Linked DNA regions of Xenopus tropicalis. The protein of the gene in region 1 purifies or fractionates together with the protein of each later gene. This does not show direct contact. Links are inferred from orthologs where the notes say so. Each region holds a gene or a part of one and is shown on either strand. Other genes may lie near its edges.

Region 1 (4,204 bases):
GCGGCCAAAAAACGACTGCTCTGCAAGGCTACTATTTTATTGCAGCGGTTACTTATTTTTTCTATTTAAGTCCTCTCCTACCTATATAGCACTACCTGGTTGCTAAGGTAATTTGAACCCTAGCAACCAGATAACTGCTGAAATTCCAAACTAGAGCATTGCTGAACAAAAAGTGAAAAAAAAAAAAAACGAAGACCAATTGCAATTTACTCTCTACATCATACTAAAAGTTAACTCAAAGGTGAACTTCCCCTTTAATACCAACTGCACCAGTTACGGGAAAGACCATGGCACGAGAGGGGTACAGATGGAACAGGAAGGCATGAATGGGATGGTTAAACCCCAGGGGGACCCCAAGAAATGAGGGGGTGCAAGAGCAGACACATGCAGGGAATGGACTGAGCAAAGCGGTTGCCTCTTACAAGACCCTAGAACGAGGTTAAAGGGCCTCTGGGCAGGGAGAGAGACCCCCGAATCATGCCTCTTACAGGAGCGACCACACGCGGGCATGTGTCGCCCCCCGGGCACGGCAGCGGGTGTAACGCAGCGCAGGTAACATGCTACCAGGCCGCAGCTGAGATTCTGACCCATGTACATACGTGTGGAAGAGAAGGGGGGGAGTGAGTGTATCACATTGCCTGATTATACTTTACCAACTGCTAGTGACAATCTCACACACAGGCCCGGCCCCCTGTGGTACAGCTGCCGCAGCAGCGGGCGCCCACTTTTGTGTTTAAGGGGGGGTGGGCACGGGGCGAGGCATGCCCATGTGAGGCAGTGTGAGACACGGGCTACATATGCTATAGCAGCTGCCCGGCCTGTGGGGCTTCCTCACCGCTCATTCAGCGACAGCTTTGTGGTACTCTTTAGCACAACTTTAGATGCAGACGGGGCGGCCATCTTGAAGTCTGGCAAACCTGCAAGGGACACAGCAAAGTTAGTCACGTGTTTGTAACACACAGTCCCCTTTACTCTAAACAGGGAGTGTAGGACATGAGCAGCACTGGTACCGACCCAACCCTGCCCCCCCCCGAACCACTGTCCCATAAACAGAACTATACCTCTCAGCCCCCCAAAGCCCTTTAGTACCCTGCCCCCCCCAGAACCACTGTCCCATAAACAGAACTATACCTCTCAGCCCCCCAAAGCCCTTTAGTACCCTGCCCCCCCCCCAGAACCACTGTCCCATAAACAGAACTATACCTCTCAGCCCCCCAAAGCCCTTTAGTACCCTGCCCCCCCCAGAATCACTGTCCCATAAACAGAACTATACCTCTCAGCCCCCCAAAGCCCTTTAGTACCCTGCCCCCCCCAGAATCACTGTCCCATAAACAGAACCTATACCTCTCAGCCCCCCAAAGCCCTTTAGTACCCTGCCCCCCCAGAATCACTGTCCCATAAACAGAACTATACCTCTCAGCCCCCAAAGCCCTTTAGTACCCTGCGCCCCCCCAGAATCACTGTCCCATAAACAGAACTATACCTCTCAGCCCCCCAAAGCCCTTAGTACCCTGCCCCCCCAGAATCACTGTCCCATAAACAGAACTATACCTGCTCAGCCCCCCAAAGCCCTTTAGTACCCTGCCCCCCCAATCCCCCCCAAAGACTAACCCTCTCCAACCAAGCCTTTAAAACCCTTGCCCCCCCCCCCAAAGCCCCTTAGTACCCTGCCCCCCCCCCCCCAGAAGCCCTTTAGTACCCTGCCCCCCCCCCAAAGCCCTTTAGTACCCTGCCCCCCCCCCAAAGCCCTTTAGTACCCTGCCCCCCAAAAGCGGCTAGGACCCTCCCCCCCCCCAAAGCCCTTTAGTACCCTGCCCACCCCCCCAAAGCCCTTTAGTACCCTGCCCCCCCCACAAAGCCCTTTAGTACCCTGCCCCCCCCCCAAAGCCCTTTAGTACCCTGCCCCCCCCCAAGCCCTTTAGTACCCTGCCCCCCCCCCAAAGCCCTTTAGTACCCTGCCCCCCCCCAAAGCCCTTAGTACCCTGGCCCCCCCCCAAGCCCTTTAGTACCCTGCCCCCCCCCCAAAGCCCTTTAGTACCCTGGCCCCCCCAAGCCCTTTTAGTACCCTGCCCCCCCCCAAAGCCCTTTAGTACCCTGCCCCCCCCCCAAAGCCCTTTAGTACCCTGCCCCCCCCCAAAAGCCCTTTAGTACCCTGCCCCCCCCAAAGCCCTTTAGTACCCTGCCCCCCCCCAAAGCCCTTTAGTACCCTGCCCCCCCCCCAAAGCCCTTTAGTACCCCTGCCCCCCCCCCAAAGCCCTTTAGTACCCTGCCCCCCCCAAAGCCCTTTAGTACCCTGCCCCCCCCAAAGCCCTTTAGTACCCTGCCCCCCCCCCAAAGCCCTTAGTACCCTGCCCCCCCAAAGCTTAGACCTGCCCCCAAAGCCCTTTAGTACCCTGCCCCCCCCCAAAGCCCTTTAGTACCCTGCCCCCCAAGCCCTTTAGTACCCTGCCCCCCCAAAGCCCTTTATACCCTGCCCCCCCCCAAAGCCCTTTAGTACCCCTGCCCCCAAAGCCCTTTAGTACCCTGCCCCCCCCAAAGCCCTTTAGTACCCTGCCCCCCCCCAAAGCCCTTTAGTACCCTGCCCCCCAAAGCCCTTTAGTACCCTGGCCCCCCCTCCCAGCCCCCCAAAGCCCTTTAGTACCCTGCCCCCCCAGAATCAGTCCCATAAACAGAACTATACCTCTCAGCCCCCCAGGCCTCTATGCCCAGGGGCGTGGGAAGCAGTTACCCCCGGCCCCCCATTCATACCCCAGCACCGAGCCCGGTACCCCCTCCCCTCACACTCACCGAGCGGCTCTGGAGTCCGGGGTGCGCTTGGCTAACGGACGGGATCCCCCCAAATAAAAGCAAGAGGGCTACGGTAGCACTGACTCTCCCTGCCTATCGCTCTACTCCCGACACACAGCACAAAATGGCGCCTAACACTGACCCTACGCCGGCAAAATGGAGGCGGCTTTAATGCGTCGAGCCACGTATCTCCATTCCCCGCCCCTTCCGAGCCTCTTAGTGGATGGTTACTATGGATACCTGCCCGGGATGGGTGTCCATCTTGGGAAGGGAAATGCGCTACAAATCAACGAGAGGTCGCCGCCATCTTGGGATGGGCACGCAAAACACTCACCTACATAACTGACTAGTTTCATTTTCAGCAATTGCGCTCTTTACATTGCAGAATCTCAGAATGTAGGGGTTGCTAAACTATATCTGACGTTATTATTAGCTAAAAAACAAAACTTTGTTGTTTCTGAGGTACAGGTCCTGAACTGAACTGTGTTACATGTGCTGCTTAATGGCAGCATTAATGTGTCTATGAACATTCCCATTCATCCAGGCCATGATATACAGTATCTAGCAGAATTAAGTCTAAAGCAACTGGACTTTTCTGAGTTTTTTTCTTGAAAACATTTCACCACTCATCCCAGTGGCTTCTTCAGTTCTGAAGAAGCCACTCAGATGAGTGGTGAAATGTAAACTCAGAAAAGTCCAGTTGTTTTTAGACTTAATTCTATAATGTCTTATTTTCACAGCCGCTGGTCTTACATATCAACTGGACAGGCCTAGCAGAACCCACTGATGGTACTGGACTGAACTCCCATGTTCCACACTAATATAATGGACCATTTCTCATGAATGTCTCCGTTAGGCAGCACACACTAATGTCTTTGTTAGAAGCCGGTCTCATTCCCAAGAATGTAATAAAGTCACTTATGTTGTCTTGAAGCAGAGAGCAGACAGCAAAAACCAATAGGAATGTGTATCCAAGCTGGGACCCGGTATTAAGCGGATATTTCCAGATGGTACCTGGCCGTCCATAAACAACACCCTGTCCTTAATTCTTCATGTCAATGTGGAACTCTGGGTAATCAGTTGTGGGGGGGGGGGGCAGGTAACCGAGCACTATGGCATTGTCCCATTTACAAGTGGGGAATCCCCTTACCGGGAATGGATTTGCCCTTCTATCCCTCACTAATACCAGCGCCCTCCCCTGTGGAACCTGTGTGTTGGGGCAAAATCGTCCCACTGGTAAAGGAGCAAGAAGCCCCCAGGTACCCGTGGGCCAGCAACTCACAGTGGCCAGAGAAATTATGTTTACAGACGTGTTCTCGGAACTCCCTGGTAAGACATATAAAGTAGGAAGAGACCCAGGGGTGAAAGTCAGATCTCACCCCTCAAAAGTCTAATAGTGACTGGCATAGCTCCATAG
Region 2 (3,055 bases), on another chromosome or scaffold:
TTTGGGATCAACAACATCAACCAGAGGCTCCTTGATGGCTACATCCTTGATGCATGACATATCAAAGCCATAAACGTTTTCCCACCCTGCAATAAAGATTGGTATAATGAGCAAAAGTGGATGGATGTAAAAATTTTACTGTGGAAGCAAAGTACATGACAAATTGTGTTGAGGCAGTTAAACCCCTTTTCAAAGCAGTTCTGGACTGGTTTTAAACAAGTTACAAAGTTTTGGGGGCACAGTAGAAGGCCATACATTAATGCATAGCAAGAACTAACTTTGAACTGACTAAAAAAGTCTAAATATAAAAATGGGCTTTAACCATAGAAATGAAGTGGTTAGGCAGAACTTTGACCAGTGCAGTTATATATTTAAGGAATACATAATCTAAGTCTGCCCAGCTGCATTTCCATTCATCTCCATAACAGTGCCAATACTTATTATAGCTGGGAATGATGGAAATTTGTACCATGCAACACATCGGCACTTACACCAGTCACACTGAAATCTGGTATATTAAACACACATATAGGAAGAGATGCCACTGGGCTTTCACATGCATGGATTTGCTTTAACTCAAAACTGGCACCAAAGCAGCAAATAAGACTTACAGTGAATTTTGTAGTCTTTGTATTGTCTATCCTCAATAGCAGTTACATACAGTGTAGCACGATCTGGAAATATTAACCCATCTGGAGTCTGAAAGATATGCAAGTACATAGAAGCACATGGCATTAAAAAAAAAACTTCTGGCATTTCAACTAAAGTATACATTTCCTTAGCAAGTGTATATACAAGGTTACATTACATCCAGCTATCACTGGTGTAAACCCAGTAATAGCTGATGTAATGTCATTAGCATTGTTGTATTAGGTACAACAATGCAGAGAGCCTTAGCACCATTGGCACAATCAAATCCAACAAACTGTTTACATTTTTAAATACAAGATACTCGTTCTTGACACTTCTTGCGAACTTACCAGCCATTTATCCCGTGCATAGATAACAGTGTTCAGCATTGATTCATAGAACAGACAATATCCCATCCATTCACTGATTATGATGTCCACTTTTTCTACTGGGAGCTCCACCTCTTCTACTTTGCCTTTGATGATTGTAACCACTAAAGGAGAATAATAAGTGGTTAGAATGCAGTCTAGATGGAAACAGTAATGCACTTAAGACAACCGTGTTGTTACCTACCATGATCTAGTTTATTTGCCTTCACGATTTTTATGGCATAGTCAGATATACTTGAGCACTCAATCTAAGTGAAAAAGAATGTAGTGTTAGTTGAGAAGATTTAAACAAATACAATTGTATGTATCCAACCCACTTACCCCCTCTCTGCCTCAACATTCCTCCCCCCCTAAACTTAAATGGATACAGACAAAATTACTCCTCAATTAATGTACATAAGTTACAGGCAATGCTGATCATTTTTAAGTACTTGATGTTCCTAAATGTGTTTTGCCAACCTGACTGTCCCTTCTCAACCTGTCAGTTATAGCTTCTAATGCCAACTGACTCCTACTGCTGCATAAATGGCAGCCCCCTCAATGGAAAATGGGGATTGGCTGTGTAATGTAAAAGCACTGGGCAAACACTTCTATGGCAAAATTATTAATGCATGCAAAGAATGTCCTGTTTTAAAGAAGGGTTTAAATTCTTGTGTCAGTGTCTAATATACGCTATATTAAAAATACTGCATCACAGCACCTGCAGGAAAGGGACTATGATAAGAAATATTCAGATATATGGTGCACACTACCAAGCACCAGTCAGGGGAATGTAAGAGGACAAACTTCTATACCACCTACTAGCTAGTAGAGCTGGATGCATCAGGGAACATGCCTAAAAAAAAAACTCAGCGTTTCTAAATCGCAACCCCATGGGGTAGAGGTTTTTATCTTACCCCAATAACTTTCTTGGCACCAGCCTTTGCTGCAAACATGCAGAGAATACCCGTGCCACTCCCAACATCCAAGACTACTTTATCTTTAAATAGATGTCTGTTGTGAAACATTGAGTTACGATATGTCAGCGTTCGAACTTCATCTTTTAACATCTCCTGCAGAAAGAAAATGGATCAGAAAAACTCATGGACAGTTATCTTTAAAATATTAGTCTACGCAGGGGTTAACTTACCTCATGGATGCCAAAGTGAGCATACGAGTCAAAGTAGTAATCTTTTGATGTCATGTCCTCCGCATTTGGCTTCACACTGCTCTCAGGCTGAGTACAAGAAACCTTCAAATAAGAAAATGCATGCATAAGTCTTAGACACCCATATACAGGCAAGACCTCCAAGGAACAAGACACCTAACATAAGCAATATGGGTGCCTGAAGAACCACATTACTGCCTTGTGATGTTTCAATTTCATATTGCATTCACATCACTCATGATTAGATTAATTCTACAACCTAGAGACAGAATGCAGATGGTAAAAATAACTTCTAGAATGCCATGTTTCCCAGCTGTGGGCCAAAATGCTGACAGCTACTGTCACAGTAGAAGCCATTTTATAATACTCCTTCCTTCTGTACAGTCTTAAAGAGCCAGCAAACTATAGTGAAAGTATTCCTGCAACTGTAAATTACCAACCATTACCTGAATGTCTGCATTTATCACACATATGCTTTGAATTTGCAACAGAAGAAAACTTGTGTTCTGGAATGGCAAAGAGCCCAAATCTCAATCCAATAGAGATGCCATGGCACAACCAAAGACTATATAAACAATTTATGTTTAGTTTAAGCAAGTTACGCCTCATTTTTCATAAATGGCACAACATATGTACAGGTAGAGTAACCCATAGCGGCCAGATGTTTACTTTGAAACAGTAAATACTGTAACTGGGTGCTGTAATTAGACTTATCAATAACTATATATAGCTGAAAACCAGATAATGTGAGTAATGCAGAAATCCAGGTACTGAAGTTTGCAAACTTCTTACAAAAGAAAAATTTGAGGTTATGTTTTCTCCATGCTTGCACAGGTTTCCTTTATTCCATTACCTCCCACACTCCCAAAACAGTCAGGTAAACTGGTCC
Region 3 (4,095 bases), about 34 Mb from region 1:
ATGCATATCATCCCCAAAATAAATAATTATCGCATTACAGTGAGTTTGAGTAGTTCCTTAACTTCAACAAAGGATGGATTATAACAAGATTAATTCCAACAGGGAGGTGATTTAAATCTGGGCTTTATGATCAGTAGGGAAGAAGGTCAAGGTAAGAACAATCTACTTACTTCTCTATATAGAAATATGTTAAATCTTTGCGTTTGCACACTTGCGAGAAAGGCACATAATTTTATTAAAGCCAAGGTTCCACTTGTGCTATTTAGGCTTAGACAGCAGAAAAATGCCACAAGGCGTTTATAATACGCAAGAGTCAAACATCCATTTAAACAGTGCTTAGTAACGTTATTTGTGTCACATGACACATTGAAACTTATGTATTATAAACAAAAAAATATGTACCCCCTTTTCCAAAATTAAAAAAATTAGAATTTGCCAAGGTGAAAAAGCCAAAGGATTTTGTGCTTTTATACAGGTTATGGAACTTTTAATATACTCAAGAGCCATAAACATCCTGTAGCCAATATGCTTACAGAGTGTGCTTAGTGATGTCATAGGTTATACTCGGTGCTTAGTGATGTAATCTGTCACATGACTTACTGAAAACTGTGAATTATGAAAACAATGTACCCTGTTATAAAATTACAATAACGATACATTGTTGTCTATATTATCTACAGTTTGGCCAATTCCCTACGGCATTGTAAACTAAACTAGAGACCATTTGCCTGCCCGTAGTATAACTTCTCCTGCCGGATTGTCTGCCTCCTCAAGACCCGCTCAATCAAACACTGGCCCCTCAGGCCTGAATCAACTACTTTACTGCGTCCCCACCAAACTGAACAGCCAGACCCTCCCACCTAACCGCCTGCTCAACAGCAACAAAGGGAAAAGCAGATCTGACTATAGTTCCAGAAGAAACAGGACTTTGAAGAAATGGAGAACAGTGAAAGTGTGGGGGGGGGGGGGGGCAGACACATGGGAGAAAGTGTGGGGAGCAAACAGAGGAAAGGGAACAAGGGGAACTGTAAAAGGGAGGTAAACAAAACATAAGCATGGATACAACTATGCCCCCTAGCCACCCTGAGCAAAAGAACAGCATACTGGCAACTATCCCCCACATCTGTGAGGAGGGGAACAAAATGGAGGCAGAGGTGGAACTATGCTACCCACAGGGCCCCCACACCACTTATATCTGTGGAGCCCTCCTGCCTCTCACACATTGGGATCCTCTCCCGCAACTCACAATATAACCCCGGGGGTTCAAAGGGGGGGTCTAACAGGTCAAGTGCTGGTCGAGAGTTTAGGTTCCAGATTCCGCCTTTGACCCCTAAGGCCTGCAGATTGTATTGAGGATGTACCCAGTACTAACATTTATGAAGATAATAGAAGTCACCAAGGAGTCACATGACCATATACACCTTCTGAAAATACAAGGTCATGTTTATCTTATCTATAAGAAGGGGTACATTAGTCACTATATACTTTAAATTTAAGGAAATATTAATCTTTATACAAATATAACTGGGGCTGGCCAACCTAAATGGGACAGACACTAAATGCCAGTCGGGGTAAGATTTGGGGAGAATGACTATACTTACATGCCCCGTGCGAAACATCGTCAGATCAGCCACACACCATTCAGGGCTGAATCGGCAGGTAAGGAGGTAGAAACAATAGGATTTCTACCTCCTTCTGCCGATTCAGCGGTGAAGGGAGATTTTGGTCAGAATTTGGTCAAAATTTTCAAACTGGTCCGATCGGCGAGTCGGCCGATATCAGCAGCTTCCTGCGATATTGGTCGACTCGCCGACATACCATACACGCACCGAATATCGTACGAAACCTCGTATTATCGGTGCATGTATGGCCACCTTAAAGCTGGCCATACATGGTAAGATTAGTTTGCTTCGCAAGGTTGCCAAGCAAGCTGATCTTCTCTCGATATGCCCAACTGAGGGTGGGCACTATTGGGCTAATCTAGTTGTTGGGCCCTGGGGCCAAACAATCGAAAGAAAACAGCGAGTATAGGCACGGGTGGATGCGGTCCCGATTTGATGGAAAAATCAAACCTGCCCGATTGAGATCTGCCCAATTTCAGGCCAGACGTCGTCAAGAAGGCCCAATAAGCAGATAAGCTGCAGAATTAGTGTAAAGGCCCAATATCGGCAGCCAAAATTAACCCATGTATGGCCACCATAAAGGTCAGTTACATACTCAGGGCTGGGGGAGGGGGGGAACAATTATTTCCTGGAGATATCAGAAAAAGCGGATATAAAACATAGCTCTGATCAAGGCTACAGTGATAATTGCCTAAATGAATGTGGGGGGGGGGGCTGCCTAAATCCTGGGCAGTAAAGGAGGTTTGGGCGGAAAACCCCGTGCTGTAAGGAATGTATAGAGTGCGAGTAACCCGTAGCTACACTTCCCTTCCTATCAAGCAATAAATGTGAGGCTAACATACCTTCCATGCATTCATTCACCGACTCGTAGTCTGCATAGGTCCGGCCCTCGGGTCTCTTGGTGGGCTGTACGAGTAGGATTGTGTGAGACTGCAAGAGAGAGGCCGTGTGAGCTCTACAGGCAAAACACAAGCAGAGGAGCAGCTGCAGAGCCCCGGGCCGAGGGGGGCCTCCATCGCTACATTATGGGGCCGCGCATCCCGCCCCCTGGAACTCAGGAGCCCGCCGCGGCCTGCAGCTGCTTCTCTGCGCCCTCACCCGCTAACAAGCCCCGCCGCCCAGCAGCCATTCCTACTCACCATATCTGCGCTTTCTACACACCGCAACTTAGCACCCGAAGCAGCAAGCAGGAAATGGAAAGTCGTGTTTCCGGCGGAAGTAGTTAGATTTAAACGCTCCAGGTATCATACAGCGAGACTAGTATGGGAGGTCGTGGCGGCCATGATTAATAAGGGCTCGGGGTGTAATATGACTGTACGTGTATTTTATTTATATAGCGCTGTATGTATGTATCGCTGTGCAACAGCACAATAATAAACAAGGGGTCATTACAATAATGAATAAAAAGTACAAGAGCTATGTGTCAAAGAGACAAGAGGATGGAGGTAACGCCTTAAACTATATAATAGTTAAATTTAATTGTTATATATTTTATTGTTATATATTTTATTGTTATACATTTAATTGTAAATATTGTTATACGAGTTTATGTCGTTTTCTGCGACGCTTTTCGCCTGTTTGTAACTACTAAATGCTTATGTGCGCCACAAAGGGGCGTGTCTCTGTCTTTATGTTTATTCTATCCACGCAGCGCTGTCCGTCTATCTACGTTCCCTACTGTGACGCCATTGTCCAGCTAACCCGGAAGTAGTCTCATGTAATGACACCATGGCAGCCGCGGCTCTGAGGCACAGCAAGATGGCGGTGCGTATGTGCGAGAGCCACTAAGGTTCCTGCGGGCTGTCAGAGTCTGTTGAACAAGCCGGAGCAGATTTTTGGGCTCAGCGGTAAGGAATAGCCCTGTGGTTCGTATTCGGTTTGAGCTGTTCCGGACCGGCTGTGCCTGTCTGTTAGTGTGTGAGTACCTACATTATTTATCGGTATAGTGCACTGATTGGCAACCTCGAATGGGACAAGTCTTGCTGAGCTACACCTGCCATGGGCTGAAGTATAGGCAGGGAGTAGTTTTGTGTATATGTTTTATGAGGCTATTTGTAAATGACAATAGTATAGGTAAATGTAATTTATATCCACTATGTGTCTGTATAGTTGTATACTGGCCCCAGTATGCATAGCATCATGTCCATTCCATGAGCACAGATCAGAGAGACCATGGAGTACATACCATAGCAAAGGATAAGCATCAAACTGCACAGGAAGGTTATATCTAATCTTTCTATTAATAGCTGTAGTTACTAATAGCATTAAGGGATATCAATTGGTAGGTGTGGGTGTCCCAAAGAGCTCACTGTCTAACTAAGAGTAGTGGAACCCCCCACAGACATGGGGAACACAATAGGTTTATGGGAGAGTAAGGGGAAAGTGTGTTAGCGGCTAATGAAACGCTTCCTTTAACAAGTGGTTTTATGATTGTTCATTACTGGGGTAGTTCACCTTAAATTTAACGTTGAGT

The links.
Region 2: the proteins of chtop (region 1) and prmt1 purify together in Homo sapiens (affinity purification with western blotting; 7 studies listed by BioGRID and IntAct, with this or other methods). This does not show direct contact. The link is inferred for Xenopus tropicalis from reciprocal best matches to the Homo sapiens genes CHTOP and PRMT1.
Region 3: the proteins of chtop (region 1) and erh purify together in Homo sapiens (affinity purification with mass spectrometry; 3 studies listed by BioGRID and IntAct, with this or other methods). This does not show direct contact. The link is inferred for Xenopus tropicalis from reciprocal best matches to the Homo sapiens genes CHTOP and ERH.

The regions. Positions count from the first base shown.
Region 1 is NC_030684.2:144,108,122-144,112,325, reverse strand, and holds the start of chtop (chromatin target of PRMT1 protein), read right to left. Parts: upstream 2,898-4,204; 5' UTR 2,788-2,897; intron 918-2,787; 5' UTR 901-917; coding exon 836-900; intron 1-835. UniProt on the Homo sapiens protein: Plays an important role in the ligand-dependent activation of estrogen receptor target genes. May play a role in the silencing of fetal globin genes.
Region 2 is NC_030683.2:111,009,020-111,012,074, reverse strand, and holds part of prmt1 (protein arginine N-methyltransferase 1), read right to left. Parts: intron 2,251-3,055; coding exon 2,149-2,250; intron 2,072-2,148; coding exon 1,916-2,071; intron 1,268-1,915; coding exon 1,204-1,267; intron 1,124-1,203; coding exon 981-1,123; intron 700-980; coding exon 612-699; intron 87-611; coding exon 1-86. UniProt on the Homo sapiens protein: Arginine methyltransferase that methylates (mono and asymmetric dimethylation) the guanidino nitrogens of arginyl residues present in proteins such as ESR1, histone H2, H3 and H4, FMR1, ILF3, HNRNPA1, HNRNPD, NFATC2IP, SUPT5H, TAF15, EWS, HABP4, SERBP1, RBM15, FOXO1, CHTOP, MAP3K5/ASK1, MICU1 and NPRL2.
Region 3 is NC_030684.2:109,825,658-109,829,752, forward strand, and holds the start of erh (enhancer of rudimentary homolog), read right to left. Parts: upstream 2,870-4,095; 5' UTR 2,765-2,869; coding exon 2,762-2,764; intron 2,553-2,761; coding exon 2,465-2,552; intron 1-2,464. UniProt on the Homo sapiens protein: May have a role in the cell cycle.